4 linked regions of the Diceros bicornis minor genome follow. The protein of the gene in region 1 interacts with the protein of each later gene in a pairwise test. Links are inferred from orthologs where the notes say so. Each region holds a gene or a part of one and is shown on either strand. Other genes may lie near its edges.

Region 1 (7,611 bases):
GACTAGTTAATTTTAGTTAAATAAGAGTCTAAAACCACTAGCTGTGAATATGTAACCAGATTAACACTTTACTTTGTTACTCATACACTCAATATTTTTTGAAATGTTGCTGGGAACCCTAATTTGCATCGAGTATGACCCTACTTGAATACATTTTTAATATCTCTTTTAACTTACAAAAGTGCGATTTATCCAAGAGTTTGGACATGCTTAACTACGGGCCAGGGAGATGTGTTTATGGCATTGTTATCCTCCCTACTTGGAAGAGTGCAACAGAAAAGGAACAACAAGGTGATATCCTTTAGCTAAAGTCACAGAGAAGGAATGAAGTGAGCCCTTCATCTTAGCATAAAGTTGTCCACTCAGTAGTACAGGTTTGCACTGGATGATTTAGTCTTGATCCTCTCCTGACAGACTATGTAACTTTGGCCCCAAAAACATACCTAAGATAGATCTGGAAATAACACATTCTGGTCCTTGCTCTGATGTAGATGTCCCTCTTAAATCTGGCCTATTGTCTTACTCTTTCAGTGACTTGATTTCCCCAACTGAAAACAGGGAAAGGTTAACCAAGCAAGAGGTAGGTATAGATCATCTTCCTTTTAATCTTGACTATGGTTTTAACATAACACCATGATTTTCCTGTTTCATCCCTGCCTTACTGGAATATTTGTCCAGGTCTCCACAATTTTACTGAATCAGAAAACAGACAAATATTCAGATAACTGGAGAGATGTTACTTGCTTAAATAATTCTTGGGAATTAAGCAGGTACCTCAGTCTGTATTACCCAATTTCTTAGGGAAGGAGAGGGCAAGTTAGAAGTGGGGGAGGGAGCATTTGGCTCAAATGATCAAATTACCTAAGTCCCTGAGTTTCACTTTGCATCTAGTAGATACATGATTCTAATTCTATGGAAAGTAGGACCCTGGAATTATCAAAAGCAGTTATTAAACACATAGGCAGATCAAGCATTGTCTGTCGACGGAATAAAGAATATTTTGCCCATCCGTGTACTAGTATTCTCAAAATGTTTGTAGATTCTGCTTAATGATAAAATATAAATCTGAATTTTTTTTTTTTGTCACTACGCAGCACTCAAACACTTGAGGAATACAAGTACTATTACGTAGAGGCCAGCCAACATTTTTGGCTTTAAAGGTAATTCTCAGATTTGAACAAGCTGGGAATGACTGGTGAAGCCCTCATTCTAGGGAGTTCCTTTTGCCATAAGAAGCAAGATAGAGGCTAAAGGTCACTGGGATTCTAAGAGGGCCCAAAACAAGGGAGTCAGTAGAACCAAAAGCCAAGGTACAAATTTAGCCCACCAAAATCTACTCACTCTTCTTTTTCTTAGTTTTATTTCAGGCATGCTAAAACAAGAAGGATGCCATACCTTCTGAACTGATCTATCATTAAGTCAGAAGGCAGGTATTTATAAACTTAGAATTTTACAAAGAGTCATAAACTCGCTGAGCTGAGCTCAATTGTTTTTAACCCCTGGGAAAGGTTCACCATGAGCTAACATCTGTTGTCAATCTTCCTCTTTTTCTTTTTTTTCCTCCCCAAAGCCCCAGTACATAGTTGTATATTCTAGTTGTAAGTCCTTCTAGTTCTTCTGTGTGAGCCACTGCCACAGCATGGCTACTGACAGATGAGTGGTGTGGTTCCGCACCTGGGAACCCAACACAGGCTGCCAAAGCTGAGCCCACCCAGCTTTAACCACCAAGCCATTAGGGCTGGCTCTCACTGAGTCGAGCTCAAATTTCTAAAAAGAATTTGAGTTAAGCACCCAGCCTGTCTGAAACATGTGAATATAAGGTTTTAATAACATTATGAAAAACTCTATAGCCTGAACTTCTCTTTGTGTATGTATACTCAGAGGAGGAAGTAAAATCTTCCTTATTTCCATCTGCGAAGGGAACTATCAATATTTTGCTTTAGATTATTTTCATCATAGTAATACTTATTTCAATAAGTATCAAACTGAAAATCAACAACTACAATTTTTTCAAAGCCACCACCACTATCTAAAAACTCTCCTGGGGCTGGCCCGGTGGTTTAGCGATTAAGCTCGTGCACTCCACTACTGGTGGCCCAGGGTTCGGATCCCGGGCGCGCACCGACACACCACTTCTCCTGCCATGCTGAGGCCGCATCCCACATACAGCCACTAGGAGGATGTGCAACTATGACATACAACTATCTACTGGGGCTTTGGGGGAAAAAAAGGAGGAGGATTGGCAATAGATGTTAGCTCAGAGCTGGTCTTCCTCAGCAAAAAAAAAGAGGAGGATTAGCACAGATGTTAGCTCAGGGCTGATCTTCCTCACAAAAAATAAATAAATAAATAAATAAATAAATAAATAAATAAATAAAACTCTCCTTACCTGATTTTACTATGGCAACAAAACACAAAAGATCGAGAACATTATATCTTTACAAGCAGGGGCAAAGGACTTCTGAAACTGGTTCTTCTTTATCACAAAATGTTTTATACAGAAGAGTTTGAAACTAGCAAAATGGTGTCGTGGTTAGGCTGGGCAGGTTCACTAAACACCAGTGAATTATTAAATGAAAAACAGGAAACCCTCCTTTTAGAATCAACTTGGGTTGTTATTCATTAACCTACTACTAAACCAAATAATACCAATGTTGCTGAAGAAGCTGTTTATGATTGCTTCTAAGGTATGACTAAGACTCTCAAAGAATGATCAAGACCTCTCCAAAGCAGGGCTTCTAGCACTGAAAGCTAACATGTCTTTTTCAACGCAATTTTTGTTCAAGATTTTTCCAGGGAAAAAAAAAGCTTCCCCAAATAGTGTCCTTAAAAAGAACCCACTAACAACAATAGGCTTAAAGCCTGTTTTGTTTTGTTTTTTGACATTTTAAACTATCAATAACTTTAATTCTCCAGATCTTTCTCTCTCTCTCTTTTTTTTTTTTTTTTTGAGAATGTTAACGTTTCAATACACTTTCCCATCTGATTTGGAATCAAAATGAGCTATTTAACATCCTTATAACTATGGCATCAGAAAAGAGTACATATTTTTATATATATAATTAAATGAGCTATTTGCCATGGAGAAAAAAGCCAGCACTTTCAATCTTGCGGATCAGCAACTATGGAAGATGAAGTCTCTTAAAGGTCAGATGCATGATTCTAACCCTTCATCTTCCACAAATCGACATCAACAAATCCTAAATCCCATCATTTCTCCTTCCAAACAGCTCTATCTGTAGTGACTTATTTTTAAATTAAGACAGTTGGTTTTAAGTTGTTTTTTCTTTTGGCTCTGGACTAATATCTCTACCTGAATATTGACAACTAGGGCAGTAGAGGCTTTATAGGGGACCTAGCTTTCTTCTTTTTTAACCTAGCAATAAAATGTAGATCAGTAACATTTTGTCTTTTAGTATACCTGGATTCGGAAGAAAGGGATTCTTGAGTTTACCATTCCTCTTTCATTATGATTATTACTTTCTAACACCTTTATTCCTTCTACATTTCTTGGCTGGCATTCTACTATAAAAGAGAGCACTGCTGTCTTCTATTAGCTGTACCTTTACCTTTACATCAAGGTTGAGAACACTGACGTTGTGGTTTGTCACTATTTAAGAGTTTCCCGGCTTTGTCTGCATGATGATGGTAAAAGCTGCAACCCACGAACAGTGGTTACCGTCATGTCTGTGGGGAGAAGCGTTCACTGCTCTGCCGGCCATCAAGGGCTAGCGCTGCGTTCATTCTCTTCTCTACAGGTGCAACGTCACGACCTACATGCTTAACTTGTAGTCTACGAGTCTTTTAGATATCGCACGCAAAAATGCTCGCAATTTTTCTTCTAAGGAGATAGGTTCAACTGCATCCCTTCCCGCCCCCAGATTCTCAAGTACGTCTGGGGCCAGCCGTTTTACAGCGAACGAGTACAATTTCCCAGAGAATTGGAGGTGAGGGCTCAGATGTCAAGGAGCAAACTGCTAACAGCCCTGAACTCCCACCGACTGTTCATCTCCCCGCATCAACGACATCAAATCTGGGAGTCAGAAGACCCGAAGGGGCAGGCGGGGCAGCGGACATCGGGCTCCCGGCACCCTTCGCGCCTCCTGGCTGCACGAAGGACACCTCACGACAACGTCCCACTGCTCCGAGGCCGGACTCCAGCCCCTCAGGCCCACGCAACCTGTCTACTGGCTGGGCGGCCCCACACCCACACCCACTACAGGCGTTGCAGAAGCCGCCACCTCCACAACCCAGCGACACCAACGCACTCCCAGAAGCGTCCCAACGCAGGAGAGGGCGGGGGCTTCGGCCGCACCCCTTCGCCTTTTCCCCGCCTTCTTTGTTTCTTCCAGATCCGCCATTGGCTGCTTGTCCCCGAGGCCGGGCGAACCCGCGGGCCTGCATTGACACGCGATTGGGCGACGTCGCTGCCCCTCGACCAGCAGCCCGCTCTCGATTGGTCGAGGCGCCGCCGGGGGTTTGAATCGCAGCCCCGGCCGGGGAGGGTCCTGCCGAAGTGCCACGTTGGGCCCGGCTGCGGCGTGAGGAGCCGGCTCGGGGCGCTAGCCGCGGCGCTCGCGCCATTGGGGCGGGTGGGTGGCGCGAGGCGAGTCGGGAAGCCGGTCCGCGGCGTGCGGCTCTGGTCGGGCGGCGCGGGGGAGCTCGGGCGGCGGCGCGTCCCACCCGAGGGCGCTCTGGCTGAGGAGGGAGGGACAGGCGGAGCGCCCGGGACAGCGGCTGAGGCGGGACGGCGGCGGCGGGGGCCGCTGCCCCCGGAAGAGCCGGCCGAGATGCTGGCGGAAAACCTGGTGGAGGAGTTTGAGATGAAGGAGGACGAGCCGTGGTACGACCACCAGGACCTCCAGCAAGGTGAGGGCGCAGTCGCCCCGCAGACGACGGGCGGGCGGGCGGCCTGGCTGGGGAGGCTCCTCCTGGGCGCGAAACTGGTAAAAAGTTGCGTTTGCTCGAGGCCGAGAGGTGCCAGGTGCCGGGAGAGTCTGGCGCTCACCTGGCGTTGGGACCGGCCGCGCCCGCCCATCCCGCGGGAGAGAAGCCTCTGCGCGGGGCCGGGGCCCGGGCTTGTGCTCGGTGATCCCCATCATCGCTGCTGCGCGCGGATCGCTGGCTGCGCCAGGCACTGTCTGGAGCGCCTTCCCCGGCTTCGCTGATCTAACCCTTACTGCCTTCCTCGGAGGCAGAGCTGCGGGACCCTGACCAGGCTCGGCCCGCGGCCTCTCTGCCGCTGGGAGTCGTCCCACCCCGCGCCGGGTGGGAGCGGCTGCAGGTGGCGGGGGAAGCTGTCCCGTGTGGCACGTGCCCAACCCTTTGCACACACGCAGTCCGCACAACAGCTCTGTTGGTGAGAGAGTAACTTTTAGTATCCCCATTTTCCAGATGAGGAAAGCGGAGGCTAAAACGGCTAAGTGACTTCCCTCGAGTTAAGTGTGGGAGCGAGTATTTTTGAACCCACACACTCAGAATGAGGAGTGCCCAAATCCTGTGTCTTTTTTACCATCCGGTTTACAGCTTCTTCAGTTGGATGTTAGACTCTTAAAAAAAAAAATTGCTTAGGCTTAGTTTAGATGCCAAATAAAATGACTTGAGGACACTTCTACCTCTACCACCTCCTTCAGTTTGCACTCCAGCTTTTTTATTTAAACACAAGCATTTGGATCTTGGCCTGCCTTGGATTTCTTGATGATGCTGTGTCTCCAGAGAAAAACGTTAGAGCAGCCCTCTTTTTTTTTTTTTTTTTTTTCATATTAATAGCAGGAACTTGCAGTTGGGGAACGCTTTTTATGTGCCAAACACTGACAGGCCTTTACAACAGGTGCTCACTTAATGCTCCCAACAACTAGGGAGGTGGAAGTAGATACTGTTATCGGGGAACTAGGATTCCACTTCAGACTCCAGCGCCAACTTTCTGAACCACTATACTGAACACTGAATAATCCTCAGGAATTTCTCCAGGCATCTTCTGTTTCTGCAATTCTGTGTAAATCAATTTTTTCAGCTCCAAACTTGCTCTGAAACTTAACATTTCATTTAGTTGAGTAGTAAATGACCATGATGTTTGTTCAGGCTAACCATTGAACTTAGGGGGAAGGGGTGCGGAAAAAGAATGTAGGCTTGAATGACTCATGTTCAGAAAAGGAAGATAAACACCTCTTTTGGGAGAAGATGATTTCTAAATCCATATGCTATGGACAGTCACTGAAACCAAAGTTGTTCACCCTTACGCTTATATAGTCGAAGTTATTTCGCGGCCGCAGTGCAGTATTTGCCATCATGTTCTCTGCGAGACAGATTTGTCTTACATTTAATAAACCTGTTTTCAGAATTCCCCATAAGGATTGATGGCCTAGTTTGATACTTTCTCCAGGGTTAATGGAGCAGCCACTGTGCAGTTGCAGCATTTGCCTGTAATAAATTAAGCAGTTTGTATAATCAAAGCTAAATGTTTTTCTTTCCTGCATTTGAGAGGCGTGGGTCCATACAGGCTCATTGTTTTGAATCTAGCAAAATACTTAACACATCGTAGAAGCTCAGTTTTAATATCTGTTGAACTGAGGCACTCACACAGGCTTACTGTTTTCGTGGCTCTCTTCCATCGGATACCTTCGTCCACGCTGCACTTTCCCCCGTGGGAGGTTGTTAGAAACAACCATTTGTAATATTTCAGTCTACTTAGAAGCAAATGCAACGTGGTGGGGTTACGTGCGGAACTCTTTAACCTCTGATGAAAATGAAGTCATCAGGTGTTCAAGCTTATTGAAGCCATAAAGAGCACACGTCCAAACCTCCTTAATGTTAATTTGCTTTTGGAATTTGTTCCCTGCTTTTCAAAAGACTTTTACGTCCATTATCACAATGGACTTTGACATAACCTGTATGTCATAACCAAGTGTATGGGGTAAGAAGAGATGTGAAATTCCAACAATCATAACTTGTGAATATAGCCTGTAGAAGAATGAAGGCTGCAGTGTGAATAAAAGGATATCTTTGTCCGAATTTTGTTAAACTATATGTTAAAGAACTCCTAAACTTCTAATGGATTTAAAATTTTGTTAATTTCTCAAAAATTTATTATCTACTCTATGCCAGGTATTCTTGTAGGCACTGGGGCCACAGTGCCTATCCACGAGATAGGATAGGTAGGGTCCTACTCATGGAGTTGACGGTCTAGGAAGCTGTTGGCTAGAGAAGCCTGGAGATGCTGCCTCCTGGTATGTGCCCACTACAGTGCCTGGCACATGGTAGGCCCTCAGTAGGTATTTCCTGCTGAATAAAGTTTAGGAGCAGGTCTGCCCTGTTAAACAGATTGATAAGCAAATCTAGCTGGATTTTATCAAGTGCAGGCATCTGTTCATTTTTTAACATCCTCACTGTTAATTTACTGAGCGAGCCCTATTTGGAGAGAGGTGCTAGAACAACTTTTTAAGATCTTGTTCTCAAAGTCATAGCACTACAAAATTTTTTCCTTTTGCAATAGAAGCGTTATTTAAGTAGATTGAGTCTTTGTATCAAAGCTTGCTGGGGCATTCGTTTTAAATTAAAATTGCTGAAAAATTCTAACCTCGGGCCAGCCCAGTGCATACTGGTTAAGTTCAG
Region 2 (7,649 bases), on another chromosome or scaffold:
GATAATGATGTACACCTGAAATTTATACAATGTTATAAACCAATGTTACCGCAATAAAAAAAAAATAACAAACCGGTACTATTATCCCCATTTTACAGATGAGAAAACTGAAGTTCAGAGATATGAAATAATTTGGGGCTAATTGGAGGCTCCTTCCTTCACATCGGGCTGGCTTTGAAAAATAATATGAATACCAACAGAAGTTAGAGCCATTCCAACAGATAAATGTACTCCAGATGGAAGCAGGCTGAGCTACCTGAGGGTTCTGGATGGAAGGTTCTGGAACTGAATTCCATTTTCCAGCTTCCTCTACACAGAGTAGCAGGCCTGTTAGAATAAGGTCTGATGAGCTCACCTGATTTACAGATGAGGCATCAATGGAGGCGTAATGGGAGAGTCTGCCCACACACCAGAGGAGGGCAGGATTACCTGCACAGGTTTCTTTCACGGCGATGACCTCCACATTGGCAGGAAGGAGGTAAGCGCCATAGGCCAGGAGTGCTTGGGGGGATAATCGATGTGGTAGCATCCAGGGAAAACAAACAAACAAATAAAATTGAATGACAATAACTAAAAGTGAACCACGATGAAGGTTGTGCTCCCCTTCCCTCCATGGTAGGTGGAATAATGGCCTCGACCTCCTAATCCCAGAACCTGTGAATATGTTACCCTACATGGCAAAAGGGACTTTGCAGATGAGATTAAGGTTAAAAACCTTGAGATGGGGTGGTTATCCTGAATTATCCAGGTAGGTACATGAATCCTTAAAAGTGGAGAAGCCTTCCCAGCTGTGGTCCAGGGAGATGTGGCTAGTGAAGAATGGTGAGAGGGAGATGCTATGCTGCTGGTTTGAAGAAGGAGAAAGGGGCCACGAGCCAAGGAATGTGGTGGTCTCTACAAGCTGGAAAAGGCAAAGAAACCTGTTTCCTCTAGAGCCTCCAGAGAGGAATGCAGCCTTGCTGGCACCTTGAACTTAACCCCATGAGACCCATGTCAGACTTCGTCCTACAGAAGCATATAACGTATATAAAATGTTAATATCTGGAGAAAGTCGATGCGAAGTATAACCTTTGCAATTACCTTTGCAATTTTTCTATAAATCTAAAACTATTCTAAAATTAAAAGTTCAGTAAAAAAAATAGCCTCCTATGGTTGGCCCCGTGGCCTCGTGGTTAAGTTTGGTGTGCTGTGCTTTGGTGGCCCAGGTTTGGTGCCTGGGCGTGGACCTACACCACTTGTCAGTGGCCATGCTGTGGTGGTGACCCACATGCAAAATAGAGGAAGATTGGCACAGATGTTAGCTCAGGGAAAATCTTCCTCAGCAAAAAAAAGAAAAAAAAAAAAGACTCCCAGGCCCCATCCCTGGCCAATTAAATCAGAACCTCTGTCTCGGATCAAGTATCAGGATTTTAAAAAATCTCTCCAGGTGATTCAGACCTGCAGCCACAGTTGAGAGCCACTGGTGCACTGCAAGCACCTCAGGAAGTATAAAACATGATGGAAACGCAGGTTGTTATGATTAACCAACCAGCGCATTACTTTTTAATAAGTTACACAAGTAAGAGTGACCATCGTAAAATTAAAAACCCAGAGAGAAATAAAAATTAAAATCACCCCTCATCCTGCCCCCTAGTGATAGCCACTGTTTTTGGTGAAAGCCCTTTTACACTTTTTTCTCATGGATACCTACACATTATTATTCCTGTTGTTATTATTATTAAAACACAAAACTGAGGCTCTGAGAGGCAGCCCCATAGCCCCAGGGTCTTGGAGCTCCCCGTTTACTTCTGCATCCTTTGTCTTCAGGGAGGATGGGGAGCCCAGCGCAGGGCAGAAGAGAGAAGCCAGAATGGCTCATGTTGAAATGCATGATAACCCAGTGTAGATAAATGTGCATTGGCAATCCCACCTGCTAATTAAGTGACAGCCTTGCACGGCCTCCAGCGCTGTCACATTCCAGCTAATGGGGAGCTGCTCTCGGGCTATCACACCATCTCCTCATTCCTGTTTTCTACTCCCGTGGTAGGACAGCCAAAGACACAAGTCCAAGAACAGCCCTGAGTAACTGTGCGCTGGCCCAGGACCCAGTGTGTGCAGCGTCCACCTCGACAGTCCCCTGCCAGGGCTTCCTCTTTCAGCCCCCTGTGGGCCATCCTCATCAACCTGTCACTGAACATTTAATGTTGCTGAACTCTTGATCTGGCCCAGCTGGTCCGCATCCGCTGGCTTCTTTTAAGAGCTACACCTGCAAGCTGCAAGCTCCTGGAAAAGCAGACTGAAGAGAGATTCGCAAGCTCTGGAGGTTGGGTGTAAGTCCTGGCTCTCATAGTCCTTGCTGTGTGACCTCAGGAGAGTTGCTTCACCTCTGAGGCTCACTTTTCTCATCTGCAAAATGGGGGCAGGAACCTCACAGGTTGGAAGGAGGCTTAAGCAAGGGAATCCACCTAAAAGCATCTGGCACCTGGTAGGTATTCAAACAACGTTAGTTCCTTTTTGTCTTTCTTTCAACACCATCTTTCCCTTTTTCTTTGGGAGAAGGAAGAGAAGGGACTCCAAGCTGGGGAATCTACTCATTCATTCTCAACAAATATTGATTGAGTGCCTCCTATGGGCCAGGCGCTGGAACGACAGCAGGGAAGGTAATGAGTCCTGCCCTCGTGGTGCTGCTGAGAGGGCACAGGCCCTGGAGTCAGACAGAGCTGGGTTCAAATCCTGGCTCTACCACCTACACGCTGTGGTTCCTTGGGCAAGTGATGCCGCCTCTCTGGGGCTCAGTTTAGGCAACTCTAAAATGGGGACAACAGGGCTCCTGGGAGGAACAAAGGAAAAGATACTTGTAAAGATGCTCATTAGAAGTTGAATAGTGGGTGCTGGTGAGGATGACTGTCCAGCAGAAGAAGCCCAGAGGCCATGGCCTGGGGCTCAGGCTTCCAGGACCAGGCCAGTCTAGCCCTAGGCCCTTGAGTCCCACTAGTGGGGTTTGTTTGGTCCTTTAAGGCCATTATACAGATGAGGAAACCGAGGCCCAGAGAGAGGAAGAGCCTCACCCAAGAGGCACAAAATCAGAACCTAAAGTGACCCGATTCACGTATTTCTGAAGTTCTTACCACTCAAGGAGTCTTGCCAACAACAGTGAGCTCTTGCATTGGGGGGCAGCTCTGGCTGGGCTGGTCACAGTGGGTGGCTCTGCCTCTCTTGCCCGCTGGGAACACAATATGGAAAAGTGGCCGTGAGCTTGGCCAAAGGGGTAGGGACCAATGGGAGGGTAACCGTGGGGAAGCTCATGCCCGGGGCAGAGCAGACTCCGAGTAAACACATGTCAAGAAAAGGGAGATGAGAAAGAAAGCATGCTCGCTGGAGATGCCCCAGGTGCTCTGCTCCAGGGCACTCATCATTTAAATCTTCATTTCCTCTCAGGAGGCAGCCCTAGAAAGCAGCACTGTTGGTATTCTTGTTAAAAGGTAAACAGAGGCACATTAAAATTTTCAAGGGTTTATTTGAGCATACATGGATTCAAATTGGGGAGCGTCAAACCAAAGGTGTTTGGGAGCGCTCCACCAACAGGAACCAGGGGAGAGGTTTCTATAGAGAAGACTCAGAAGGAAATGGGTTGATTGGATGTAGTGGTGGCCTTATTTGGGGAAGCCTACTTGACTGTGATTGGTAAGTTCCATTTTCTTGGATTCGAGCACATTGACTCCGGCTTAGGTTTCGGTTTGGTAGCTGGGCTACAGAGCCGTTAGAGCCACCCTGGTCCAATGGCCCCCTTGTTCAATTACTGTAACATTCTCATTTCACAGACATGATGCTGAGGCACAGAGTGATCAGGTGACCCGCCCAAGACCACACAACTTGCGTGGTGGAGGTTGGAATAGAGACCACGATGTTCAACAGGATACTATACTGTATCCAGGAAAAACAGAAACTGATAAAGGAATGAAAGGAAGAAGACATGAAGAAAATAACAGGAGAATGAATGAAAGAGTGAATATTTTTCTTTATTATCTTTTTAATGAAATAGTTGATACATAAAACATTATTTGTAACACTCGTGAGTTATAAAACATTCTAACAGAATGAACACCCTTGAACCCACCACCAATCTAAGAGGACAATGGAAAGTCACCAATAACTCATATCTACTTACACCAGTGGTTCTCCCAGCTGGTTGCACACTGAACCCACCTGGGGAGCTTAGATAGCCACTGATACCCGCAGAGAGCCTGATGGGATTTGTCTGGAGTTTGGTCTGGGCATCTGGATTTTATTTTTTAAGGCATCTGTATTTTTAAGAGCTCCCCAGATGATTCTCATGTGCAGCCAGGCTTAAGAACCACTGATTGTTATTCCCCTCTCCTATCGTACCCCCCTGATTTCCCCCCACCCTCACCTTCATTCCTCCAGGTAACCACCATCCTGAATTTTGTGTAGTAAGTGGATTCTTTTCCATCATCCTTCTGTTTCCAGGACTAACGACGTTTGCGATTATCTCCCGCCCACCACGAGGGGGCGCCAGAGAAAAACCACAGCCTCCTGTCTCTGCGCGCCCGGCGTTGCGCGGGAGGCGGCTTGACCCTCGCGGCGCTCCGTCACCGGTCCGTTGCCCGGGCAACGAGAAACGGCCGGCGTTGGTGCTGCGCTGCCGCGGAGTGTCGCGGCGGGACCGGCCGGGCTTGGTTGAGGCGCGCGGGAGCTCGGGCCGGGGGACTCTTCGGAAACGTGAGTGGGAAGGTGGGGCGCGGCCGGGAGCCGGGACCCGCAGAGCCCGGCCGCAGGCGGCCCCGCGCTGGCTTCCGGGGTTCAGGGAGCCGCTCAGCTTGTGGGTGGCCGATCCGGCACCGGAATCTTAAGTTTCTTGGCTCCTGGTGCAAAGATTTATCCACGGGCGGCTCACAGGGCGAGGAAGAAAGTCTGTCAAGCCCGCCACAGTCTCGAGACAGAGCATCAACTGGCAGCCGCAGGCTAAACTTGGCCCACAGCCGCGGATGGTTTCCCCCAGCTCTGGAGGCCTCGGAGTCTGAGACCTGGCGTGGACCCGGGCCTATGGGCTTATTCAGCAGACGTTCCTTACGCACTGTCCCAGTCAAGCACTGTGTAAACCCTGCACATGCGGGCAGCTGTTGGGTCAGGGGAAAAGGTGTCCCGAGTGAGACTGCTCTGCATTCAAGAGTCCAGTTGTGTTCCCTGATTGCTCTGTGACCCTGGCAAATCCACTCCTCTCTCTGGGTAGCAGTTTCTCCATCTGTAGGATGAGGGATCTGCCCTCCATGTAACCCAGGAAACTTCCAGGTGTGACACCTAGGCTAGGCCCCTTCTGGCCAAAGCCGGGGCATCGTGCTCCCAACTGGCAGCCTCTTGCAGTCTACAGAGCCCGGGCCCAGGTCTCTGACCGACATGAATTAGGATCCCAGCTCTCTTATTTCCTCTGCTTCCCAGCTTTGTGGTCTTGGGCAAGTCACTTTACCTCTTTGAACTTAAGCTGCTTCACCTGCCGAATAATGGGGTGATTATAACAATGAAAAGGTCATGAATGTCAAAAGTTTGGCACATACACATGTTCCTTAAATTACTATCCGTGTTACTTTAAGCAGAGCATACAAGGCCCTGTTGTGCTTGGTCCAGCATTGCTAAGAGTGGTTCCCTGTCTCCATCTCCAGTGCCCTTGATGGTGTCTGCCCATAGCCGGGTGCCATCTAGGCTTATTTAAACCGATGATTCGCAACCGTGATGGCAGATCATTTAAAAAATGCTGATGTCTGGGGCCTACACCAAGACTTGTTTGATTTAATTGGTCTGGAATGGGGCCATCCTCCACCGGGCGATTCCAGCGTGCAGCCAGGCGGGGAGGACCACTTATGAAAGGGATGAGGCCAAGCTTGTGAGGGTTCCTGGGGTTGTAGCGACTCATTTTCCTACCATTGCTGTTCTCAGATGGCCCTCCCCACGCTGCCCTCATACTGGTGCAGCCGGAGGCTCCAGGATCAGCAGACAGCACGACAGCGACAGCGAGAGCAGGAGGCCCGGCTCCGGCAGCAGTGGGATCAGAACAGCCACTACTTCCGGATGTCCGACCTCTGCAGCTCCAAACAGGCAGAATGGAGCTCCAAGACCTCCTACCAGCAGAGGTAACTGTGTAGTGACTGTGATTGGATGATGCTGGGGGGCCATCTGCTGGGGAGGGGATGTGGCCTTAAGGACCAGGAGAGTGTGGCGTGACAGCATGTTTTCTCGAGGGGTTTGCGGAACAGCGTAGATTACCTGCATGAGGTTTTTCCAACTGTAAATTGAAAAAAAAGACCCTCAGTGAAGTAAAACTTTTGCACTGCAAAAGATAAAGCAATAATCTGGAGAATCTGGAAGTTTTCTTGTAACTCCACATCCCCAGAGAGAACCACAGTTAACAGCCTGATTCATGTCCTCTCATACTTTTTCCCATTTGTGTGTGTATATAAATATATACAAATATAAAACAAGATTCTACAATGCGTAGTGTTCTGTGACCTGCTCTCTTCACTTTGGCTGGAGGACACCTTCCCGTGTCAGCATGTTAAGTCTCCCTCAGCCTCTTTTACCCACACAGCAGAGCAGAGCGTTCCACGTGTGGCTGTGGCATGATTGATTTACGGTGGGCTCCTTCTCACCCAGCATGCATGCTTATCAGCGTGAGAAGATGAAGGAGGAGAAGAGGAAGCATCTGGAAGCCAGACGGGAGAGACTCAGGCAGCTTCTGCTGGAGGAGCAGGACTTGCTGGCCAAGGAACTGGAGGAGCTGAGGCTGAGCATGAACTCGCGGGAAAGAAGAATCCGGGAGCGGCACGGGAATCTGAAGTCGGCCCGAGAAGAGCAAAGGAAACTGGTAACTTCTCACAGCCCTTTAGGAAGCTATGGAGCCGGGGCATCCCGAGCCCATCAGCGTTGTGCATGTGGGGTCACCGCTGGGTGCTCTGGTCTGGTGAGATGGCGATAACTCCCGAGCCAGCTGGGAAAAGTGCTTACTCTAAGTTGTTCTTCACGTGTGTTTTGCATAAGTCATCCCTCTTTTCTTTGGCCCCTTAAATCATTACATCTGAGTCCTTTTTCTTTATTCAAGTTCTATGGTCCCACAAAGGCCTGGGACTGGTGTATTTTATCTTCCAAAGTAGTTGTGTGGAATGGTGAGCCCCAAGCTGTGTTTTAAGCCTGCTATATATTTGGAAGCAGGTCTGTAGCATCTAGGACCCATCTGAAACATCAGATTTTGGCCCCCTTTTGTCACCATTGTAAGAGTGATTTGTCATGCTGTCCAGGTCCACTCAAGTGTCTGGCTCCCGGAGCCAGGGGTGCCAGGCAGGCAGGAGGTCTGAAGGCAGGTGTAGTGACAGCGTGCCAGTGGAGCAGCTCTTAGCCTGAGCTGACTTCCATTGCCGGTTCTCCAAAATGTGAGTGGATTTGAAAAGCAACGTCAGCTTTCCCTCTCTGTGTTTTCTTGACAGCTTGCCGAACAGCTTTTGTACGAACACTGGAAAAAGAACAACCCCAGACTTCGAGAGGTGAAAACCAAGGAGATCCCTCCGTTGATTTGCCTAAGTAGATGAAATAATTTTAGCCAGCTTGTTTTAAACTTGGATCTTGTGCTGGGGTCAAACAGAGGAGGGAACACTTCAGCCACC
Region 3 (7,647 bases), on another chromosome or scaffold:
GTCAGGAGGGAGGGTGGGCTGTGGAGGGGGGAATTCGTCTCCCAGGTTCACGTGGTGCAATGGATTTGAAACTGTGTCCCACTGAGCTTTAAACCTTCCTGGGAGCCCCCTCACAAGCCGTTTAGGGTGAAGGGTCCAGGGGAGGAGAGAAGATCTCAAACTGGATGTGTTACAAAGATTTTGTTCAAAAAAAATTATACCAAAGCTTAAAAAAAAAAACCTTTAAAATTTCAGATTTGATGCACCTCCCCCTCATTTTACAGCTGAGAAAACAGCCATACTGGGGGTGGGGAATGGACGTGGCTTACCTAAGGGGATCACACAGCAATTTCTTGATAGACTAGAGCGGCACTTTACCTTTAAGAGGCAGTGGAGAAGTGGATGAACAAAACAACTAGGTCGCCAGCTTCCTGGGCCTTCCTTTCCTGAGATGAGCTAATTCTGAGGAATGATTTTCCTTCTAATCTGCCTTAAGGGCTCTCTGGTCCATCAAAGTTCCTCCAGGGCCGTGCCTGGTCTTGGGAGCCCAAGGAACAATGTTCACAGTTATAATGTTATTTACCAATGTTAAGTCATATTATTTTTATTTAACCTAAAAAAGTTAAGATGATTTGATTTGCCTAAGTTCCCAAAGCAATGTGGGGAAGTTGATAGATGACATGAGCTCAGGGAAAGAGAAGAAAGCAGGACGTAATGTAGCTTGTACTCCAGAACTGATGCCTGTGCTTTGGAACCTTTGGCGGCTCCCTCAGTTATTTCCCAGCTGCCCACAGGATGATGCCCAAGCTCCTTGGAATGGGGGTCAAGGCCTTTCATAAACTGGGCCAACTTTATCCTCCAGCCTCATCTCCTACCTCCACTGACCTCCCAGCTCCAGCCACACTGGCCTCCTCTGTGTTGTCTGAACACACTCTGAACACACACACCGCATATGGTCTACTCTGCCTTCTCTTGCTTTCTCTTGGTGAGCTTCTATTCATCCTTCAAAGCCTGGCTCAAATATCACCTCTGTGAGGCCTTTCCTTACCCTCATTTGTGCTCAATACTTTTGCCTTCTAGCCCTGTTGCAGGGCCCATCACATTGTATAGCCCATGCTTGTCTATTTCCCTTTCTAAACAGGGAGCTCCCCAGGGTCACCACCAGTTCTGATTCTGCTCTGTATCCCCAGCACAGTACCTGGCACAGAGTAAGCACTCTGTTACTGTGTGCTGAATTTGAATGAACGGATGGGCAGGCGCAAGGTCCTTGAGATGGAAACGCCTTGATCTACCATCCCTTTCTTCCTGGGAGTACTGACATTGAGAAATTACCCACCTATAAAGGAACTCTTATACCTGTCCTATTTCCTGGAGTAGAAATTCCTCTCATCTTCCCTTGTCTCCTTGCTTGACACCCCAGGCCTCTAGGGCCTGGATCTGGCTACACACTGCTAGCCTCTCTTGGACATCTGTCTGCTTGCCAAGACATCTCCTCACTGCCCGCTGCTGGATCTTCATGACGGGCTGGCCTGCTGCAGAGCCCCTGTTTGGGCTGATACTAGCCATCTCTGGTGATTTCTGTGTCCCTGCCAATTAAGTTCCTGCAATCTATGTAGCTGAGTGGACACAGCCACAGACACCCCTTCACCTGGGGTGACTGATTCCCTGGCATCCTGACTGAGGAAGCTTCTGGTGAATGAACAACAGACATCTATACATCTGCTTTTCCATGGTCATGCAGACGTGGATGCCTCTGCCTTCCTAGGGTTTTTGTTCTCTATGCTCCTAGTTCTCTGAAAATTATGGAGTGGCCGGGACCACTGTCTGAGCACTTACTGCATTAATTATACAGTGCTAGAGAATCCCACACATTACCCTTGACTAAGAAAAGAGACTAGGGGCTAGCCCGGTGGCTAGCGGTTAAGTTCGTGCACTCTGCTTCGGCAGCCCAGGGTTCGCAGGTTTAGGATCCCAGACGAGGACCGATGCACTGCTTGTCAAGCCATGCTGTGGCGGTCTCCCATATAAAGTAGAGGAAGATGGGCACGGATGTTAGTCCAGGGCCAATCATCCTCAGCAAAAAGAGGAGGATTGGCGTCGGATGTTAGCTCAGGGCTAATCTTCCTCACAAAAAAAAAAAAGAAGAAGAAGAAGAGAGAGAGGCCACAGTCCAATGCCCTTGGAATTCACTTTACTTATCAGGTATTATGTTATTTAGAAACAACTAACTTTATAGAACAATGGAATGACCAGTTGATGACTCAGCTATGCCAGGTTGTGTGCTGCCCTGCAGGATACGATATAGGCTTTAAATCAACAATCAACATATGACTGTTTTTTGTAGCCAGAATATATATGGAGAGGTAGAGGTGGGTGTAGCCCATCATGGGATTGTGGGCTAATGACTTTCTCAAAGACTTCGCTTCCTGTCTCTGACATTCTAGGTTCTGCAGGTCAGGAGGTTTTAGCATCTAGGGAGGAATGTTTCTAACCAGGGAACACAAAGATGATTCCATTGCATTTCAGGCTCCTCATACTACTGCAGGAATAGAAGAAAGGAGGTCACAGTGTAGGCTGAACTGATAATCGCTATATCAAGGGGAAATAGAGTGGCTACTACTCAATGAGGACTGAGAGGTGCATGAGTGGGACCCAGGGGACCCCTGCGTCACCACCGTGTGCTCTTGTATTAATCAGGATTCTTTTGAATGCTGGTGAAAGAAATTCCACTTGTTAGGCTTGGCAGAATAAGGGCCTTATTGGAAGCTGTACAAAGGCCTCAGGAAATAGACTGGAACATCACCAGGACTTCTGTCTTTTGTCTCTGCGTCTTGTGTCAGCATCATTTTCTTCTACTACAAACTGATTTCCACTTGGCAGGGAACGTGATTGCTACAGCCCTAGGCTCACATCTTCCCTGATTTGTCTTCCTTCAATTTTGTTTCAGAAAGTCCCAGAGAAGGACTCTGACTCACCTGGAGTGGAGTCCCTATCCCTGGACTCATCAGGCTCTCCTTTAGAGCTGGGAGAGACAGATCCAGAAGGAGAGGCAGGAGGAGCTGTTCTGGGCCCACCAAACAACTAGATGCCATTATGGCTGTAAGACATGGGAAGACCTGCATAACTCTAGACCACCAAATCCCAGAGCCTTCAGGAGTGAGGATTTGGGTCACCTCATAAGAGAGAAAACTATGGCTAAAGGCAAGAGGGGACTTGTAGTGGATAAGGGAAGACTAGTTAAGCCTCAGGACCTGGTGAAGAAATGGGGTTGAAGTCTCTGCCTGTGTATTCTTAGCTGGGGGAGTGGCCAGAGTTTGAGTTACTTCTTTTCTTTTCTTTTCTTTTTGGTGAGGAAGATTGGCCCTGAGCTAACATCTGTGCCCATCTTCCTCTACTTTATATGTGGGATGCCTGCCACAGCATGGCTTGATAAGAGGTGCATATGTCTGCACGGGTGATCTGAACCTGCGAATGCCAGGCCGCTGAAGCGGAGCTATCGAACTTAACCACTACGCCACCCGGCCTGGCCCAATTTCGTTTTGTTTTTAATGGGAGGAGGCCACGAGGAAGGTGTAGCCAATCGCTTGGTTTGCTCAATAAAGTGGGGGGTATGGAAGGGACTTCTTGGAATCTTATGTGTCCTGAAGGCTAAATTTGTCCCAGTCTTCTTCCTGGGGCTGCCTCTAGGCAAGAAGTTAATCTAAGAAGCTTTAACTTCCCTAACCCCAGGCAGTACTTTTTGCTTTTATCATTAACGTTAGCAATTACTCTGTTCTTTTTGATTGCAAACTGAGTTCCCAACCCCTACACATTTCCCCCAAGAAGGAAGGGAGTGAGGGGGATCAGGCTTCAGTAAGTAGAAACTGCACAGCTCACAGAAGAGCTCACTGCACTGGCAGCATGGAGGGGTTCTCTGCCCAGCCAGGAGGAAGCCACCCGGGCCTGGGTGCAGGACATTAGCTCCAGCTCTGTCCCAGGGGGAATTTTCTTTCTTCTCTTAAAACATAGCTTTCATTAAGTGACTTTAATGAAATAAGCACAAAATGAATATATAATTTCAAATTGTGATAGATACTATGAAGAAAAGGTACGAAGTGCCCTGGGATAATATAAAAGGGGGATCTAATCTGGCCTAGGAGGTCAGGGAAGGTTTATCTGAGAAGCGATCTGAGACAGGAGTAAGTCGAGAAGGGGAAGAGAATTTTAGGCAGAAGGAACAGTGTGTGCAAAAGCCTCATGGCAGAAAGGAGCCTGAGGCCCAGTTGCAGAGATGGAGGGCAAAAGGATGAAGCTGGAGACGTAGACAGGGCTGGATGCTCAGAGCCCTGTGGCTGCTGCCTTGAGGATTTACCCTGCAGTGGGGAAGCCATTGAAGGGCTTTAAGCAGGAGCGTGGTAACATGATCAGATTTTCATTCTGAAAATGCCACTGTATCTGCGGTGAGGCAAACCGACGCGAGGGGCGCAGGGAATGCAATTAGGAGATAAAACCGGACCTGGAAGGCCTCGGTCAAGGCTGCGGAAGGTGGAGTAGGCGGTTCCGGCGCTGCGGCCCAGGCGCGCGGCTCCGCGGAAAACCGAACCGGCCCACGTGGGCCCCGCCGCCCCGCCCCGCCGCGCCGACGCCGCCCGACTCCGCAGTCCCGGCCTGGGGCTGGGCGCGCCGCCCCGGAACCCCGCACCCCGCGCCCGGGCCCGCGCGTGCGCCCAGGCCGAGGGACCCCCAGACGCGAGGGACGAGTGCCCGCCGCGGGGCCCGCGGAACCAGAGCCAGCGGCGCAGGGCGGGCGCCTCCAGGCCGTGAGTCGGGGCCGGAGCGGGAGGGCTTGGGGTCCAGCCGCTGGTGGGGGGCGGGGGGCGCGGGGAGTCGCAGCCTCTGCCCAGCTGCCTCCCTGGGGAAGATTAGGGAAGGATGGTCTCTATCCTCTGTCTCCTTGGGGGGGGGGGGTAGTCTCCCTCTCCCGCGAGGCGAGGCGGGAAGGGAGGCTGCCTCCGCCATCCTTACAGAGCCACCTTTCCCCCTACCCCGGCAAACTGCGGATTAGCTTGGAGAGAAGCCTGAGCCTGGGGTGTCTGGGTTCCCACTTTACATCTCTGAGAACCCCGTGATCCTTAGTACCACCGCCACCGCATCCCAGCTTCCTTCGTGGCCCCGCCCAAGTTTAGGAAAAAGAAAACATTTGGGCAGGGAATATCTCCAGGCACCTTGCTTAGCGGGATGGGAGTGCGTAGGTTACACAGGGACTGTCCCCACACCATTCCCCCAGGACTTCTGCCCACTACTGATGTGGGGAGGCCCCTGCCACCTCCACTTACACTATCCCTTACTCTCACAGATCCCCAGTTTTTCTAATCCTAGTAAGATGTGGTCAGTAGAAACCTCTTGTCGATTCAAGCCCTGATTTTGGTAGAAGCTGGTTATTGGGGAGGAAAGAATAGGGGGTATGCCTTCCCTCCAGGGCGTCAGGATGAAGCTAGCTGAGGTCAGGGACACAGATAGCAGACGTGGAGGGAAGGGGGCAAGGTCAAAAGAGAAGCTTGTCATGGCGGGGGGAGGGAACTGAACCCAGCTCTTCCAGCCCTGGGCAGCCAGCAATAGCCTCCTGCTGCTGTTGGCTCTCTTTTCCTGAGCATGGATATCCCACTGCAGTCCCTGTCCCCCATTCAGTCACTCAGCAAATATGTACTGACGCCTGCTTAGTGCCAGGCTCTGTGCTGGCTCCGGGAAACATGATGGAGGATATTTAGAGGAGTTCCATGTCTAGTCAGTGAGCTAGATTTATAAGCAGTTATTATAAGACAGTTAAAAAAGAACAACAGTTGAATGGACATTTACCGATGGTCAACTATGTGCCAAGGACGAGAAACAAACGTGGATAAGACAGTGCATACCCGGGGCAGTGGGGACCCTGAGGAAGGCACAGTTCACTGTTTGTGTGTATTGGGACAGTGGGGAGAATATCAGGATGGCTTCAGGGAGGTGGGGGTGTTAGAGCTGAGTTTTGAGGTACAAAAAGGAATTTGCTGGGTGGAGAAAGGAGGAGCTTAGAGGGGAGGGGAAAGGAAGGGTATTGAGGCCAAGGGAATTGTGTGCAGAGAATAACCGTGTGTTTTGAGATCTCTGAGCAGTTTTGTGTGGTGGGAGGGGCAGAGTGGCAAGAGGTAAGTCTGGAGGGGTGAGTGGGGGCTAGAGGAGGCACAGCCTTGGAGGTTGTGGAGAGGTTTATCCGGAGTTTAGGGAGGGCACTTGGAGCCATGAGAAAACAAATTTACATTTTTAACCGGAGGCAGAGAGATCAGTGAAAAGGCTGTGGCAGTCAGTACTCCAGGTAAGAAATGGCCTGAACCAAGTGAAAGTGAGTAGACGTGTGTACATACACACACAGAGGTATTTAAGAGGAAGAATCGTCAGAATTTGGTGGCCAATGAGATGGGGGAAGGAAGCAGAGTGAGGAGTCCAGGATGCTCCCAGGTCTCTGACTGGAGTGACTGAATGGAGAGTGGGGCCATTTTGCTGAGGACACTGAAGAGGGAGAGCTGGTTTGGACATGTCGAATTTGAGGAACCTATGGTTGGTTTCAGAATTGGATAGCAGTTGGGTCTGGGCCGCAGACAGATCTGAGAGCCACCAGCACGTGATGGTTCTTGAAGCTGCAGCAGAGGATGGGATCAGCTGGGGAGAAGTGCATAGGATGAGAAGAAAGCCTGCTTCAGAGGGCTGAGGGAAAACCTGATGCAGGAGACTGAGAATCAGCAGTCAGAGAGGGAGGATGAAAACCACGAAGGGAGGTGTTACCAGAGTTGAGGGAGAGGAACTGAGAAGGAGCAGCCAGGCTCTTGCTTGCTGCCTGGTCCCTGCAGCTAAGTTGCCATGACTTCAGGTCCCCTACCCTGTCCTGCTCTGACTCATTCTTCTGCTTCCCCTGTACAGACAAAATGTTTGCCATCCAGCCAGGGCCAGCTGAGGGGGGCCAGTTCCTGGGGGGCCCACCTCCTGGAGTATGTCAGCCAGAGCTCCAACCAGACAGCAACTCCAACTTCATGGCGAGTGCCAAGGATGCCAATGAGAATTGGCATGGGATGGCAGGCCAAGGGGAGTCCATCCTGATGAAGAGCTCCTCTGAGTTGCCCTCTGACAATCAGGCCTTCCAGGCCTCTGGACTTTCTGAGGGGGAGGTCCGCAGCCCACCAGAGGGGGCAGAGATCCCCAGAGCTGAGCCTGAGAAGATGGGTGATACCAGCACAGTCTGCTCCCCTTTGGAGGACAACGGCTATGCCAGCAGCTCCCTGAGCATCGACAGCCCTAGCAGCAGCCCTGAGCCTGCTTGTGGGACCCCTCGAGGCCCTGGCCCTTCAGATCCCCTTCTGCCTTCGGTGGCCCAGGCCGTGCAGCAGCTGCAGGCTCAAGAGCGCTATAAAGAGCTGGAGAAGGAGAAGCACCATGTGCACTTGGTGATGTACCGTCGCCTGGCCCTGCTCCAGTGGATCCGGGGCCTGCAGCATCAGTTGGTTGACCAGCAGACCCGTCTGCAGGAGAGCTTTGACACCATCCTAGACAACCGAAAGGAGCTTATCCGCTGTCTCCACCAGAGGGCAGCACCATCCAGGCCCCAGGACCAGCGCTAAGGGTGTACCTCCAGAGGGGTGCAAGGATATATGTATATATTTG
Region 4 (7,221 bases), on another chromosome or scaffold:
TAAGTACACAGGCTTTGGAGTCTGTCTACTTTGTTACTTTGTGTTTGAATTCATTAACTAGCAAGGAAACCTTCAGCAAGTTATTTAACTCTTCCCACCCCATCAGCTCTAAAGTTCATGGTTAATCTTTGCCTTGGTAATACTACGGTGTAGGATCTAGTATATATCTTAACATAAGGCACGTCACTAATACATATTTGTTAACTGGATAGGTACCTTCCCAGTTACAATTTCAACTGTCATCTAGGAATGTGCACAAATCTTTGGTTTAATTTCCTAAAACTAATTCCTGGGTTATAGAGCAATAATAATAATGATGGTCTTTCCTAGTTTTTAACTTGTCTCTTATAATGAAGCATCTCTTGCAAATGAACAAGCTTCTAAATTTGGACTATAACAAATAAATAGTAAAGGTCAACAAAGACTTTAGCATGGATTTGGAATATATAATAAAATTTACATTTTCATGGACATACTGAACAGTTAAGAATTTTCAATTTTAAAACCACGTCTTATCCTTCATACCTTGTGAGATATGTAGGGCAGCTACAACCCCATTTACAGTAGATAATGATCTCAGCCAAGCTCAGTTTCAATCCTTCCAACATCAGTCAAGTTCTGAGACTACAGTTGGATTTGAAATGATCTATGAAGTAACAGAACCTGAGCCATGGTGAAAACAAGTTGTTTTTTCTCTCTCTCTCTCTTCCTTTCTTTTCTGGTTAAATGGAGAGATGACAGCCTAGCATAGGCTAATTATTTTTATTCTTTAGCACTCAATTGCATAATTATTATATTTTTATGTTTTACTCCTTCCAATAAAATGATTTTTAAAAAAAATAAAAACCTGACATCAGACAATCAATAATTAAAGATTATGATGAATGCAAGAAGGGAAGAGATTTGGAGTGGCAGAACTCTAAAGCCATTTAAACACTAAAAATCTGTTTGATAATTATTCAAAAAAAGTGGCAAAACTGCTGGTGGGAAAGCAAACTGGTGCAGCCACTATGGAAAACAGTATGGAGATTTCCCCAAAAATTAGAAACAGAAATACCATACAATCCAGCTATCCCACTACTGGGTATTTATCCAAAGAACATGAAATCAACAATACAAAGAGATCTATGCACGCCTATATTCATTGCAGCATTATTCACAATAGCCAAGATGTGGAAACAACCCAAGTGCCCACCAACTGATGAATGGATAAAGAAGATGTGGTATATATATATAATGGAATACTGCTCAGCCATAAAAAAAGACAAAATCTTCCCATTTGCAACAACAGGGATGGACCTTGAGGGTATGATGTTAAGCGAAATAAGCCAGACAGAGAAAGACAAATACTGTATGATTTCACCCATATGTGGAAGATAAACAAACACATGGATAAGGAGAACAGATTAGTGGTTACCAGAGGGGAAGGAGGTGGGGAGGTGGGAGAAAGGGGTGAAGGGGCACATATGTATGGGGGCGGATAAAAACTAGACTATTGGTGGTTAGCACGATGTAGTCTATACAGAAACCGATATATAATAATGTACACCCGAAATTACACAGTATTATAAACCATTATGACCTCAATAAAATAATTTAGAAAAAAGCAGCAAGGAAACAAATTTTCCCTACTTGCAAATGCATATTAACAACTATAGTATTGGGAATAATTTTTTAAACCTTAGATAACTCTTCACCTTCCTAAACCTTGAAAAAAATGTATGTAAGATACATAAATAAAGATATTATAGAACTCAGTTCCAGAATTGAAATATAGTATTATCATCTTCAAAAGAATATTAAATATTTATTTATATTATTATTAAATGATATTAAAAATATTTGTTTTATGATGCATTGCAGTTTGATGTATACAAGTTATCATTTGCTTCTGAAAACTGATGATTTGGTATCAGACAAAACTGTAATTCTACTGCTTATACAGCTAGTGATTTTCTTGAGAATATTTGGAACTGGGCAGTCTGATTTTCTCCAGCGGGTGAAAAAAAAACAAGTCACGACCTTTACCCCTTTTCTGAAAACAAATCTGATATTTCACTCTAGAGATTTGAACACTTAGGCACCTTGGCTAAATTTTGGTAGAGAATTGAGGTCAGAAAGTCCATTGAACTCACAACATCACCACATTAAAGTCACATTGATGGTGCATTTGTGTCCATCTCTTTCTTGCCAGTAGTGCTAACTCTAGGGTATGAAAATAGCAACGACAAGCATCCAAGGAAAATGGAAATGGCGATTTTGTGGAATTTGGTTAGCACTTGGAACTAAATTAGAATGATTTGAACTAAATTAGACAGTAGGGCAGATAGCATCTGACTACTTTGATATTCCAAAAACATAAAGCATATCTATACCTTAGGTGTAGCAATACACCCATGAGTAACAGGAACTTTACACAAAATTCTAATTATTTAATATATGGTGGCCAAATTTGACAAAATTCTACTATCATGAAATTTACATATTAAGAACATCCTTGAATTTGCAATATGTATGCTTTTATTCTATAACCAAAAATTAACTTAGGGCCGGCCCTGTGGCTTAGAGGTTAAGTGCGTGGGCTGCGCTACTGGCAGCCTGGGTTCAGATCCCGGGCGCGCACCGCAGCACCGCTTCTCCAGCCATGCTGAGGCTGCGTCCCACATACAGCAACTAGAAGGATGTGCAACTATGACATACAACTATCTACTTGGGCTTTGGGGAAAAAAAAAAAAGGAGGAGGATTGGCAATAGATGTTAGCTCAGAGCCAGTCTTCCTCAGCAAAAAGAGGAGGATTAGCATGGATGTTAGCTCAGGGCTGATCTTCCTCACATACACACACACAAATTAACTTAAACTAAACATAAAAAAGCCAATTGTGAGAGAAATAAAGATCCTGTAGTAAACTTTTTTGAATTTTTAAGCTTTTTTTTTAGAAAAACAAAACAAACCACTATCCAACTGCATCATTCAACCTTTTTTTTTTTTAAGTGAAAGGGGGAGTTAATGAGGTATTCTCACGAGTCATCACGAGGGTTCTAGGAGCACCCATAACACGATAAGCCCCTAGAGTTAATTTTAGACAATGTAGAAAAATCCCTGGCTGCAGATATAACCTGGTGACATGGGCAGTATGGGAATGTTAATCATGATGTGACAGATCAGACTTCAAATTCTTAAGAACATACTAGGATGGCTGCAAAGACGCAAGTCAGGTCAGGACCAAGGAGAAAAACTTCGCAAATATTATTTTACCCATTTTCGACAAGGCAACAGATAACACCTGAGCTTTGGGATAAGGGTTAGGACCAACATTTGGGAAGATTAAGTTCAAGAGTCCAGCGCGGGCCGTGTTGACCAGTTTCCTCCGCCCACGACCTTTAGCCTAGTTGTCAATTCTTCCAATTGGGACAGCCCCCGGGGGAAGAATCTGGGGTCCACCACCAGGCGCAGACAGCGTGACCTTTGTTCTAGTTTAGCCTGAGAACGTCGACGAAAGGAGAATAGGGAAGAGATGCCTACAGCCCTCAGATGTGGCCCCGTCCATTTCGCCCTAACTCCTCGACCTCCCTCCGCTTATCCCCGCTCGGAGTTCCCTCTCACCCGGGCAGGACAGCTTGGCTAGCGGCACCAACATGTTCAGTGTAACCAGGACTCTCCGTCGGACACAAAGGATGGACTGTCTGCAGCTCGCCGAGTGCGCTGGACCTCTAAGCCGCGAGGGGCGCCATCACCACCACTGAAGTTTGTCTCCCTGCTCAGCCGACCGCTCTGGCTTCACAGCGTTCCAGCCTCTTTCTCGCTCTGCGTCGGCGCCACGCATGACGCGACGGCCAGCAGGGGCTTGCGGGTCATGTGCCCAAAAGGAGGAAAAGGAAACGGACTGCAAGTCCCAGCGCTGCCCGCGGCTGCACGTTGCGGATTGAGTCTGTGCTGCTTTTCTCACTCAGGCGTGGTAAGCCCGCTGCAGTGCGGGAGGACCCACAAATCCCATAGTGCAACGCGCGCGCAGCAAATGGTAGTGGGAGGTGGACCGACGCGTACGGCATCCTGGGAGTTGTAGTCTTTTGCTCAAGTGCCCTCTGAGCCTGGCAGGAGCTGTGCGCAGGAGCAGTGAGCTGCACAAGGTGAATTGACTTACATATGATTGGCTGTCCGGAAAAAATGAAGTCTTCGCGGTCCTGAGCAGACGCCCACGAGGAGGCGGGGCTTCTGGGCTTTGGGCGCGAGCAGTTGAAAGATAGCTGGTATCGGTTCGGCTGCTAAGGTCCGGTTCCGCGGGCCCAGCCCTTCTCCATGGCAGACCCCGAGGAGGTGCAGGTTTCTTCGCCGTCCCCGCCGCCTCCCTTCTCTCCTTCGTCTTCAGACGCCTCTTCAGCATCTTCCCCCGGCGTCCCAGTGAGTTTGGGCTGGCCGGTTCCGAGCAGGAGCAGCAGCCGAACGGTGGACCCGCTGGAGGAGGTGGAGCTGCAGATCGGAGACGTGAGTGTCGCCCCACCGGTCCCGGAGCCGGGTCCCCACTCGGCGATTGTCGGAAGACACACCGCGGGGGGGCCAGGGAAGGAGGGACCGGGAGTCCATGCGCCCGGCCTGGCGCGTCTCGACCGTCTGCCCTGTAAGGGCGGTGGGCTGGGAGGTGGGGTGGGGGAAGCCGGCGACCAAAGGCCCCTCCCCCCGACGATTCTGTCTTTAGATTTAGTGTTGAGGAGTTAACGGGTTATGCCTTCGCCCGCCCCATCCCTGTTTGCTTTTGGCCTCGCCTTCTGGTTTCAATCTTGTGCTGTAACCCGAAACCACGCAGCTCTGCTGTGCTGCCTCGTGCTGGCTCTGCCTGCCCTCTCATCCTCCCCCCTGGCTGTCTGTTGGTGCTTAGATCAGCCTGTGATTTCTCTCCGCGGGACTGTTCTAGTTGGCCACCTGCCCAGAGCCAGCTGACAATGCTATTGTCTGTCTCAGGCTCGCTTTGCGTTGGACCCAGTTTGGAGGAGTTAGTCACGGCCTCTGTAGTCCAGATTGGTTTCACTAACGGTTTAGTCAAAGACCCCTCCCTATGATTGCTAGAATGCATAGCAATGGATGGTTTCTTCTGAATCTCCAATTCCCAGAAACTAGCGCGAGCGCGCGCGGACACACACACCACCGGAGAGGGTCACAATTTGATTATTTAAGGACTCTTGAGTGGGTCAAGTGAATGAGATATGTAGGGTGTAATCTTCCTGGGAGAACTTTGTGGAATACACTCTCCTGTGCGGATTGGAAACTGGGGAATGAACTCGATTATCTCATTGCTCAACAAGTATTTGTTTTTTTTTTTTTTATTTTTGTGAGGAAGATCAGCCCTGAGCTAACATCCGATGCCAATCTTCCTCTTTTTTTTTTTTTTTTGCCGAGGAAGACTGGCCCTGGGCTAACATTTGTGCCCATCTTCCTCCACTTATATGGGACGCGGCCTCAGCATGGCCGGAGAAGTGTTGCTCGGTGCGCACCTGGGATCCAAACCCTGGCCGCCAGCAGCGGAGCGCGCGCACTTCACGGCTATGCCACGGGGACGGCCCCAAGTATTTGTTTTTTTAAAAGATGACTAAAGTGCTGATAGAGCTTCAATTTTTGCCGACAAGACTGGTTTCAAGTGAATGTGTAGAATGGAGTGCTGATGTCTAGGAACAGGGTCTTAGGTGAAGAGAACATTTAAGTAAGAAGTGGATTTTCCATCACGAGTTGGATATTTTCTGCATGTGTTTTGATTTTGTTGATGGTTATTGGTCAGCTCAGAGTATCTGTTCTTTGGTTTATACATTTTCATGGCCTAAAGTGTTTACTGGTAAAAGTAGTGGAATAATGCCTTTGTTACCCAAATATCAGTAAGGATTGTTTATGAAGAAGTCCTTTAGTACTTCTGGGACTTAGTGTCAAGGGGTCCAAGTCGTCTTGTTGAGCTAAATGAGACTCCAGTGTATTTTCAATTAAAAAAAAAATACTGACTTGTCATGTCTCATACATAATGCATTGTTCTTTAAAGCTTACTTCATATTAAAGAATTTCTTAGGTTCCCAGAAGCTTACTTCATATTAAAGAATTTCTTAGGTTCCCAGACAGAGCCGCTGTTTTAGTTTGAAGATTTTTTTTACTTTCAAAGAAAACAACTTGGGCATTGGATTCAGTTTTAAACTATTTGTAGACTGTTTATAAAATGAGATGACAATTTAAAAAATAAACTTCTATTGTTTGACTTTTTTTTTTGAAATTTCAGGCAGCATTTTCATTAACCAAACTTCTTGAAGCCACATCTGCAGTATCAGCTCAAGTGGAAGAACTTGCCTTCAAATGTACAGAAAATGCACGTTTCCTCAAAACATGGAGGGACCTTTTGAAAGAAGGCTATGATTCTTTGAAGCCTGACAACTGATTTGGCTGTGTCATAATTCACGCTTCCTCATTTATGATATTTGCACATGTACCATATGTATAGGACAAGCTCCAGCAGTTCTGTATACTCAGAATGAAATTTTTCTTGGTTTTCTTCACTTTTGGGAAAGCAGAATACTGATGTTATTTTTGATGCTGGCCAGTATTTGTTTATCTTTAAATACTTTCTGTCCTCTAAACTTTTAATAGAATCCTTTATGAAAGTTAATTTCATCAGTAGATAATATTAATAAGGCCACAGTGTTAGCAGTAGCAAACTAGGTGGACCATTATTCTATTTGCTTTGCCAGAAGATGCCAAGAATGGCAGAGTTTGAAGTTGAGCTTCGTTTTATGGACCAAGGGAGGTAACTTCTAGGTTACCAATGTTAGATCCAGCTCCACTAGGCTAAGTTCCCTAGAACCAACGATTGTGTCTTCTTTCTTTTTCTATCCCCACCACCTAGAACAGTGTCACACAGCAATCACCAAGTATTTGTTGAATAAAAGAGTTAACAACATAATTAAAGGCTATTTTTTTCTTCCTGTCTTTACTATGAAGATTATAATTGTTTCTGTAAAAAATATTTGAATTAGAACCTCATTGACTTGAAGGGAAACGTTCTCTTTTTTTTTACGGGGATTTGAACTTCGATGATAGCTTTTTAAAATATAATAAATATTTTTTGCCCTTCTATGATGCTTTTTAGAAAAGCTTTTACTTCAGATAATGAAAGCCTGTCTGGAAAGAATGCATATGGTTAACTGCTTTTACAGATAGTATTTCTTGCATTCGATGTTGTTATATATTTGATT

What was found.
Region 2: the proteins of CDR2 (region 1) and TCHP interact in binary tests that used the Homo sapiens proteins (3 or more experiments, as listed by UniProt). The two-hybrid records come from large-scale screens. The link is inferred for Diceros bicornis minor from reciprocal best matches to the Homo sapiens genes CDR2 and TCHP.
Region 3: the proteins of CDR2 (region 1) and C13H1orf216 interact in binary tests that used the Homo sapiens proteins (3 or more experiments, as listed by UniProt). The two-hybrid records come from large-scale screens. The link is inferred for Diceros bicornis minor from reciprocal best matches to the Homo sapiens genes CDR2 and C1orf216.
Region 4: the proteins of CDR2 (region 1) and C11H4orf46 interact in binary tests that used the Homo sapiens proteins (3 or more experiments, as listed by UniProt). The two-hybrid records come from large-scale screens. The link is inferred for Diceros bicornis minor from reciprocal best matches to the Homo sapiens genes CDR2 and C4orf46.

Annotation. Positions count from the first base shown.
Region 1 is NC_080765.1:31,136,486-31,144,096, reverse strand, and holds the start of CDR2 (cerebellar degeneration-related protein 2), read left to right. Parts: upstream 1-4,593; 5' UTR 4,594-4,790; coding exon 4,791-4,869; intron 4,870-7,611.
Region 2 is NC_080774.1:17,709,048-17,716,696, reverse strand, and holds the start of TCHP (trichoplein keratin filament-binding protein), read left to right. Parts: upstream 1-4,635; 5' UTR 4,636-4,719; intron 4,720-5,931; coding exon 5,932-6,125; intron 6,126-6,645; coding exon 6,646-6,856; intron 6,857-7,472; coding exon 7,473-7,529; intron 7,530-7,649. UniProt on the Homo sapiens protein: Tumor suppressor which has the ability to inhibit cell growth and be pro-apoptotic during cell stress. Inhibits cell growth in bladder and prostate cancer cells by a down-regulation of HSPB1 by inhibiting its phosphorylation.
Region 3 is NC_080752.1:50,002,444-50,010,090, reverse strand, and holds the start of C13H1orf216 (UPF0500 protein C1orf216 homolog), read left to right. Parts: upstream 1-4,631; 5' UTR 4,632-4,778; intron 4,779-6,909; 5' UTR 6,910-6,914; coding exon 6,915-7,604; 3' UTR 7,605-7,647.
Region 4 is NC_080750.1:46,351,913-46,359,133, reverse strand, and holds the start of C11H4orf46 (renal cancer differentiation gene 1 protein), read left to right. Parts: upstream 1-4,210; 5' UTR 4,211-4,297; coding exon 4,298-4,483; intron 4,484-6,251; coding exon 6,252-6,407; 3' UTR 6,408-7,221. Other genes in the region: ETFDH (electron transfer flavoprotein-ubiquinone oxidoreductase, mitochondrial), read right to left, coding at 3,605-3,638.